Linked DNA regions of Mus musculus. The protein of the gene in region 2 purifies or fractionates together with the protein of the main gene of each other region. This does not show direct contact. Links are inferred from orthologs where the notes say so. Each region holds a gene or a part of one and is shown on either strand. Other genes may lie near its edges. The genes, in order: Prkacb and Akap7.

Region 1 (4,563 bases), on a different chromosome or scaffold from region 2:
CACATCTCTGAGACTTGTAGCCTCCTGTTTCTAAAAGTTTAAGGTTCTGTGTATTAAATGATGAAAAATAAGTATACTCAAATTTTGGAAGACATTTATTTCAAGAGTAATTTTAAAAACACATGGGAGACTTATATAATGGCGAAAGTTGTTCTTTGAAACACCCAGTTCTCTGAGGAATTCAAAGTAATTTATGTCTAGAAACTGTGATGATCAGAATGGAATCCTTTAATTTTGTGGGTGTAGGAGCAAGGCCCTGGGTGCTCAAAGCTAACAAGAAACAAAACCAAAGCAAACCAAAGCAAACTAAAACAACACTGACAAAAACACAACAAAACAAAAAAAAAAAAACACCCAAACAAAACAACCTCCCCCAAACAAAACAAAAACAACCCCCCAAAGCCTGTTCATTTACCTTTATACCCAACTTCATTCCTTGGGAGTATTTTTAGAATTAAGCTCTAGAATTCCCTGTCTGTGGGAGGCACTTCCTCATCAAACTGCAAATCTTACCTTCCTATCTTTAATTAGCTCTTCAAACCAAACACTGTGCTGCTGGTAACGTCTTGTGGTCTAATTTACTCTCAGCTCCAGCACTGACACTCTGCCTTTCACCTGATGCTACACAGTAAGTGACACTTTAGGATCTTGTCCACAGGTCTACGAGGAAACCCAAGCAGGTGGTAGCTACTCTGAGAGAGGACAGATTAATTAGTGATGCAGAGGTAGTCAGAGCCTCAGAGCTGTTCTTTACTCTCTCGTTGATAACATGATCTCAATTCTTGTTTCTTCAGGTCTGGCACTTGGTTGGGTCTTGAGTTAGGATGATTTCGTAGACTAAACTCTTAAGTGTATCTCTTAAAGTGTATTCTGTGTATCAAGAGAAATTTAAATGATTACATTTAAAATATGAGCCACAAATTTTCAGGAATAATTCATCTGAAAAGTACACAGAAGAGTTGGGGACAGAGTGGTAAGCCATGTTCTGTCATTACGTTTTATGACATTGTACCACTTCTTTGCTACAGAAGAGCACCAGCACACCTGGCTGACACTTCCCCCTGTGAGCCCTGAGAGCTGAGCCATGACCGTCTCCTATATCCCATGGGACATCTGCTGTCTTCTTTCGACACTTCACAATATTTTTCAAATGATTCTAATGTTCTTCAGTTTCTATAAATAAGTTCACACAAGACTTTGTCATAGCTGCTAGTTTAAATGCATATCGTCTAGGGGAAGTGTATAGACTGCTGGAGAGTGGACTATCATTAAAAATATAAGAACTGTGCAAGATAGCACTTGCTAAGAAAATTACTGGGCTGATCCAACTATCAAGCATATTTTCATAACACAATTAGCATACATTGTACAAGAGAAATAGGGGAAAAGCAATGTTACATGGATATAGTATTTTGTCATACTTCATTTTTTGTGAGTCTGTACAATTAGTTACTACATTTGCACAATTACTAAGATAACAAGGAAGTCCTAATTCTACATCGGCTTTTCAAGTTGTCACATGCTCACCAACAGTTTGCCCTGCTGTTCCATGCCCTGGAACGAACCTTATTGATGAAACATAACCCGTTAAATCTGACTGTTGTTTACATTCCACAAAAGCAATAGCTAGACTCTCTTCTGTCAACTCAACTCTGCTTTGTTCATGAGAATCAAAAGCTGTTTGCTTCAAGCTAATTACAAGATTGGCTTCATTCTTCTGTTATAAACACAGACACAATGGAAGACGTTACTTACAGTAACACGAACAAATTGTCAGACTTACTTCAAGGACTGAGATGTCATTAACCTATGGCAATGTAACAAAAGTCAGGGACCGTTCTCTAATTATTGTGAATTATAAATTATAATATGAGCCGAATAATGGCACACAATTTTCTCACAGCCTGTTACACAACACGCATATATGTGTATGCTTACATATAAAACCAAGTTGCTACACAGAAACTCAATTCCCACGACCCTTTTGTCTTGAAATTTTGTACACAGTACTGAACGTCTGAACTTTCAGCTCTCGGAAGAAAGCACTTCAACTCTGAAATGCCTCTAAGTTTTACAGGCATCCTGGAACATTCCTGGATGTCTAGAGTAAACGCAACGCTGTCTCACTTATTTTTCCTCGAATGGATAAAGTTGCTGCTTGTATTTATGTCTGCCATCTCTAATCTCTTGGGTGAAAGAAAGAGCCTTAGACACTAAGGGTTAACGTCACCTTTGGAGACCCTCACGGACACTCACCTTGTGAGAAAACTGATATACATCCAGGAGAAGGAGAAAAAGCCAAGTCAACCCAAACGTACTACCTGTGGCTCCCTTAAAGGAGGGTCTGGGTGTTGGGGGCTCTGGGAGAAAGAAGAGCTAAGGGTGCGATCACAAAAGGACCATATTTGGGGACGCGTTCCAGACCGTGGCAGCCCTCCTCGCTCTAGTAAGAAAGGGGATCACAGGGACCTCGCTGCCCGCCTTCCCTCTCTCCAGTGAGCCCCGGGGCTTGGCCCTCACCCCCGAGCCTTCGTGGGGGAGGGGACAGAGGAGGAGGCGGCCGGCCCCCGCGGCCACTGCAAGGCCCGGCCCGTGGCTCGCGCGCGGCCTTGGGGGGGACACCGGCCCAGGGCGCTGCACCGCGCGGCGGCCCATCCGGCGGGAACCCAGCCAGGGCCTTCGACTCGACTCACCGCTCTCCACTTCGCTGCCTTTCTTGGCGATCGCAGTGTTCCCCATGACCCGGGAGTCCGCAAGCAGGGATGACGGAGGGGAGGGGACCGGGGCCGTCCCGCCGCCCGCCCCGCAGTCGGCAGCAACTTTGGCTAGGCTTTGGCTAGGCTCCCGCAGACCCTAGAGCGCGGCGTCCGGCTGCACGGAGGGGCTGGGTGTCCGGGAGAGATGCTGAGAGCTCTCCGGCAGAGACCGGGACCGTGGCGGTGGCGGCGGTGGCGGCGGTGGCGGCGGCGGCAGCGGCGGCGCGCGGACACTCCCCCTTCCCGAGCCCGCCCTCCACGCGCGTCCCCGACACGGCGCGTCCCCAGGAGCCGCACACCCGGACTGCGACCTCCGCCTCTTTCCGGGCGGGCGCGCCGGAAGTGACGCGGTCAAGCCCCCCGGCGGGCGGGAGCCCCTCTGTGCAGGGTTGTAGCGGTAACTTATTGCTTGTTGCGTGGATGCTGGGCTTGGCCGCGGAGGCTAAGCTCGAAGTAGCGAGGGACGTGGGGACCGTTAGTTTGGAAGCACCCCAGATCCTTCCTCGGCCTGGCATCCGGTGCCCCAGAGCCGGGCGGGGGGCACAGTGCCAGGGCTCGGCCTGCTCCCGCATCCGTGTGGCCCGCGTTCCGCACGCCGTGGTTGCTCTCGCTTGATCTTCCTGCGTGGCTGCAGGGACGTGCGTGCGCCCCTCCGCGTCCTGCCGACCCTGCTGACCCTGAGGTCAGCGTTGGCCAGGAATGTCTTTTCTCAGCTCCCAGCTGTCATTGGAACTTCTTCCCTTCGCTCTTCTAGGTATTCTCCCAACACACCAGGTCAATCACCAACATTCTTGACAGCTTATCCCTTCCCGAGTTCCTTCTTCATGGTCTCACCTGATTGCCCTCACAAATTCTGTCAGGCTTTCTAAGGAGAGATATGGGAATGTGTTGCCTGTTTTACACAAGTACGTTATGTGCATCAACACAGTCACAAATTTCAAAATAAACGCATTCCCAATTGATTGTTGCGCTTCCATGCATCTGAGAGTACTTGAGCTTTTCCGTGAGGTTATTAGAAATTAATCACCTAGCCCTCTGGTAGTTTTTGTTCTGGTTTTTTTTTTTTTTTTTTTTTTTTTGAGCTTTTGCTATCTAAAAAAAAAGCATTCCAAATTTAGAACAGAAAGATTAACTTCTGGAAGGGCAGAGACCATGTAAGTTTATTTTGTGTCTGCAGCACAAACCACAGTTGGCGCGTAATGAACGGATGGTTGTTGGCTGCTAAGGAGATTTCCCAGAACATTTTAAAAGTTTTGTTATTGGGGAAAAAAAGTAGCGGTGAGTGGAAGATTCTAAACAGATTCATACTTCTATTATTGGCAATTATGTTAAATTACCAAGCATGTACACCAAGTATACTGCGTTCTAAGTGTTGTACAAATAGTAATTAGTTTCCTCATAAAGTCCCTATGCAAATGTGGCAAGACTATCATTGTTTTACTTAAGATCCACAGAGGCACAGAGACATTAAAGGACTTATCCAAAGCTAATTAGAAGACCTTGAAATGAAGAAGGTAAAGCCATACCATCTCAAAAAGCGCCAGAATGGTATATTTATTATTTCTATTTAAAATCAATTGAAAGGTTATAACTTCAGAATAGACCATTGGTGCTCTTTCATTTCAACAAGCCATATTGTGTGGGGAAAATGTCCTTTACATACCAAGATAAGAAAATAACCTTAGTCACCAGATACTATTAATTGGGGGATACCACGAACTGGAATAAACTGTGACATAACTCTCAAACATACCCCTACATATATATCTCTTCAGACTATGCCAGGAACTTAGTGCACTATCATCGA
Region 2 (4,511 bases):
CTGGGAAAACTGCCTTAAAACAGTCGATCTTTAAGATTTAAAGCACAAATTCATTGTTTTGGCTGCTGTAATGTTGCTTAAATAAACTGAGCCTGGTAGCACAGACCTGCAATCCCAGGTACTTAAAGAGTTGAGGCAGAATAATAAATTAAAAAAACAAACAAACCTATACAACTAATTTAGTGAGATTGTTGTCTCACCTGTAAAGTTAACGGAGCTCGGGATCTACCACCATGAGAGAGCTCTTGCTTGCTGCGTACCAGACTGAGATTCAACTCTACAAAGTACATCAAGCTATGTCAAAGTGTGTAAGCCAGGCGTGTTAGGTCACACTTGCAATCCCAGGGAGGCACAGACAGGAAGGTGAAGAGTTCAAGGCTACCCTCAGCCTGAGCCACATGGCACAAAGAATTTTAAAGTCACCCAAAATTTGGTCTGTCACTAAAACAAAGTGTATCATTTCCAAAAATCCAAATAATCACGGGAGTAAAGGTTACACTAATAATGATGACGTGAAGCTGGAAATTAGCAATACTAGAATTACTAGTTTTGCTAATTAGACATTAGCATTACCAGCATTACTAGCCAACATTGTAATGGGTACTTTATGCCAGGCACGCGCACTTTGCTAAGTAACTCATTTAAACCTTAACAACTCTGTTATAGGGAAGACTAGTATTACACCAGGCACCGACTTAGGAACCTGCCCACAAGTAAAGTAGATTCAGGAGCTAACATTCGGATCACGTGAACATGTCACATGACCCACAGTTTCCAGAATCACTCTTTACCATATACTGATGGCAGCACTGTAAACTGAGGCAGGAAGCAATGGGTCAACAGGTGAGAAGCACGGAAGATGGCCTAAATGTCTTACTGAAATCTGGGTTCCTCTCACATACACTCAAACAGGCCTCCTCGCAACCTTGCTTGAAGCAAAGAGAAAAGGGGAACTAATTTAAATGTCTAACAGAGAAACAACTAAACAGTGCATGATCATTCTGGTGACTGAAAACCACCGGTATGAGGAGTCTAACAACAGGGGGAAAGGCGACTCTCTAACAAGCAGATACGCAGTCAAGGTCATGCTGACTTAGCATACACAAAGCCCTAGGCTTTATCCCCAGTGTTACAAAAACAAGCATAAGTCAAAAAGTAGCTAGAAAACTGCATGTTCCCAAGACGTACGGGTAGGAAAGGAAGAATAAAAGCTGAAGTGTTTCTGAATGCCAAATACTTTCCAACCACTGTACTAGGTTGTTTCTAAAGTGAATATTGCTTTTGTAAGAAAAACCATGAATGTATGTAAAGAATCTTCTCAAGCCAAGAAAGTAAATGCATTCAAATCCTCAGATCACAGGGACACTTCAGCAAACACTACCAAAGCCAAGCAAACAGAAAACAAAAAAGACAGACAGACAGACAGACAGACTGCCCAAGTCCTACAAAGTAAGTTTCCTATCTGAACAACAAAACACACCTTCATTGGGCAAGACTCTCTTCTGGTTCCCCAGCACTGTAAACAGCTATGGAATGGGCCTGTCATTCATTACGGTCTATCTACTTCGACTAGCTACGTAAAACAGCAGAGTAGGTCTCCAGAAATGTTTAAACTTCATGCCAACCAGGCCACTTACCCAGTGTGCTTCCATTTGCGCCTCATGAAGAGGGAGCAATCCAAATTATTAAGGAGAAATTGACAAATCGACACTACATGAATGGAAGGACCCAGTAAACTGGACAAGTGCCATAAGCTTTGTCACTATAGGGAAACGATGCGCTAACAGCATCCCAAACTGCAAAGCCACACGGTGTAAAAAGGTGAGAAGAGTCCTCTCTTTCCAACTATTACCCTATTCCCTTCTGCCTATTACCCACACTCCTGTAACCTTATAAAAACATCTCAAGCAGGGACACTCTGGGCATCTCCTCACGTGATACGAGTAATTGCATTCACATGAAATTTATAAACGCATGTACATTATTCACCTGATTTATATTTACATACATATAAAGTATTTACATAGCATGCTTGGACTGCCTATTTTAATATTCTTACGCTTTGTATACATGTAGGTGTTCTTGTAGAACACCTTTTTCCCCTTACTTCCCAGTCCCTTTCCCTCCGAGTCCAACCTCTAATTCCTACCCAGGTTCAGCATACAACGAAAGTTGACCCAAGCTGAAGTACATCCTGGGCGCCAGCAGATTGGCGCCCGTTTTAAAGTGTGCCTTGCCAAGCCTCGAGTAAAACCCTAAATGAGACAAGACAGTGTTCAGAGGCTTCTATTTGCCATTTTAAAAAATAATTAGGTAAATAAAACGGAGTTTTTTTTTTCCCCCCTTGATTTTGTTAACCTCCCCAACACAGTAGGAAAGGATGTGCTGCAAAACTCTGGGTCATGGGTCACAAGATAGGAAGAGGTAAGAGAAACAACAACTTGTGTGTACACCCCTTTCGGTTCGAGGAGTGGAGTGGTGCACGGAGACCCACGGATGCAACCAAACTGCCCGGACTACCGGGCTGGACCGGGATGCCCAGGGTGTAGGGGGAGGGTCGATCGCGAGGGGCGTGGGGCTGCGGGCGGCCTGGGAGGCGGAGCGGGGCGGGCGAGCACGCCCCACGGCAGAGGCCGCCCCGGGGCGCGCAGGGCGGAGCGCTCTCACCCACGGCGGGGCGCTCCATGGTCGCGGCGCAGAGACGGAGGCGCGGGCCCGGGGCGCGCGGGACGGCGGGGGCGCGGGCCGCGGCGGCCAGGCCTGCGGAGGCGCAACGCCCCGCGAGTCGCAGCATCCCCGGCACCCGCCGCTTCAGGAGGAGCCGGAAGGGGCCGGCCCGGCGAGGCGTGGATACCCGGATCGGGGCGGTCCCCGGGGCCGTGCTGGGCTCGGGCTCCGACCTCTGGCCGCCCTCGGTTATTTCCTGCGGCGCGGCCCTTCCCGTCCCACGCTCGGAGGGGCGAGCCAGGGATCCAGAGAGCATTCCTTGGCCCGCTGTCCCTTGAGAACCCGTGTGTTTGCTTTAGCGTGGAGCTTTGGAAACACAGATCTGATTGCAAAATAGGCGGGCTGAGCAAAATGTACAATACAATAGCGAGACCTTGAACGTCGCTATAATGAGATGCTTTTATTTACTTGCCATTACCCCCCCCCCAAAAGTAGCATTTTCAACAGCAGTTTAAGAGCTAAAAGTTGGAATTGTTAAATGAAATCATCTACAAATTTTTTGCAGGCAAGGCTCCTCAGTATCTGAATAAAATAAGAGAAAACTATTTTTTTTAATAGTTAAAATATGAATATGTCTTGTAGAAAAGAATGCTACTGTTTTTTTCCGGGCTGGGGGCAAATGGTGGTATTACTGCTGGTTTGTTGGGGAATGTAATTTTAATTTAAGAAAATATGGTGGTGTGTCTCTTCTCCACAGCTGTAGCCCTTAAAGCTGGTAGGGAACTTTGAAGAATTCCCTGCTTAGCCCCTTTTTGTGGATCTTCACGGAAAACGGTCTTTTTAAAGGAGCAGGCTATCTAATCACAGAGAAAGAACGAAAAATAAGTAAGGGAGCTTGCGGCAAGAGGATCCTCAAAGGCCAGCCGATGCTAGCTGGACTGGACAGGGTACAGATAAGACGTTTAAGCATAAGGATTACTTTACGCAGTAGACAGAGAAACAACTCTTTGCCCTCCCTTTTCCTGCTGGAAGTAGACTATACATTTCTCTTTGTAAGGATTACTCCCCACTCTGTTTTAAAGGTGTATTTATGTAACTGGGGAGTAGGAGCAGTGCACTGACACAGCAAGGTTGACAGCCAGTTTGCAAAGAGTAGAGCACTACCCCCACTCCCCCCTCCTCGGGCTTCACAAAGGACGCTACAGACCTGGGAGACGTGGGTTCTGCACCTCATGTGTGGTCTGATGCTTGGGGGCGAGGTGTCTTCCTTCAGCTCAAGAGCCCACTCCTGGATTTCCCTCCTTTTAAAAACAAAACAAAACCAAAGCGCTGTGTTTCTATTTTAACCACACATCTGTGGTGTAATCCTTAGCCTTGGGATATAACTTCAGTGGAGGAACCAGAACACCAACCCAGCCCCCAAACCTTTCACCTACAATCTACCCTGTCTGAAATAATGTGCTGGGGCAAAGGAGGCAAAGATCTTGGGAGAGTGGCCAACCAGTGACTGCTCTAGTCTGAAGCTCACGCCACAAAAGGAAGCCCATGCTTGATACTACAGCATGACCAGGAACCAGAGGCTGGACAGCCCAGAGACCTTTGATAAGAAAAAGAAAATCGCAAATGGTTCCTAATGATATTCCGCTGTACTCATAGATCAGTGCCTAGCCCAATCGTCATCAGAGAGGCTGCCTTTGGCAGCTGATGGGAGCTGATGCAGAGACCCACACCAAACTTGAGCTGAAAGCTCTCTACTTGGAAGTCTCCTTCCAGTCTCTCCCCCTCAGAGTTTGGGGAGCCCTGAGGAAAAGGGGAAGAAAGAATTGGAGGATTCTGCCAGTGAG

The links.
Region 1: the proteins of Akap7 (region 2) and Prkacb purify together in Homo sapiens (affinity purification with mass spectrometry; 4 studies listed by BioGRID and IntAct, counting the BioPlex papers as one, with this or other methods). This does not show direct contact. The link is inferred for Mus musculus from reciprocal best matches to the Homo sapiens genes AKAP7 and PRKACB.

Annotation. Positions count from the first base shown.
Region 1 is NC_000069.6:146,809,945-146,814,507, forward strand, and holds the start of Prkacb (cAMP-dependent protein kinase catalytic subunit beta), read right to left. Parts: upstream 3,003-4,563; 5' UTR 2,740-3,002; coding exon 2,694-2,739; intron 2,687-2,693; exon of another isoform or gene 2,257-2,686; intron 1-2,256. UniProt on the Homo sapiens protein: Mediates cAMP-dependent signaling triggered by receptor binding to GPCRs.
Region 2 is NC_000076.6:25,294,261-25,298,771, forward strand, and holds the start of Akap7 (A-kinase anchor protein 7), read right to left. Parts: upstream 2,820-4,511; 5' UTR 2,668-2,819; intron 2,477-2,667; exon of another isoform or gene 1,638-2,476; intron 1,632-1,637; exon of another isoform or gene 201-1,631; intron 1-200. UniProt on the Homo sapiens protein: Probably targets cAMP-dependent protein kinase (PKA) to the cellular membrane or cytoskeletal structures.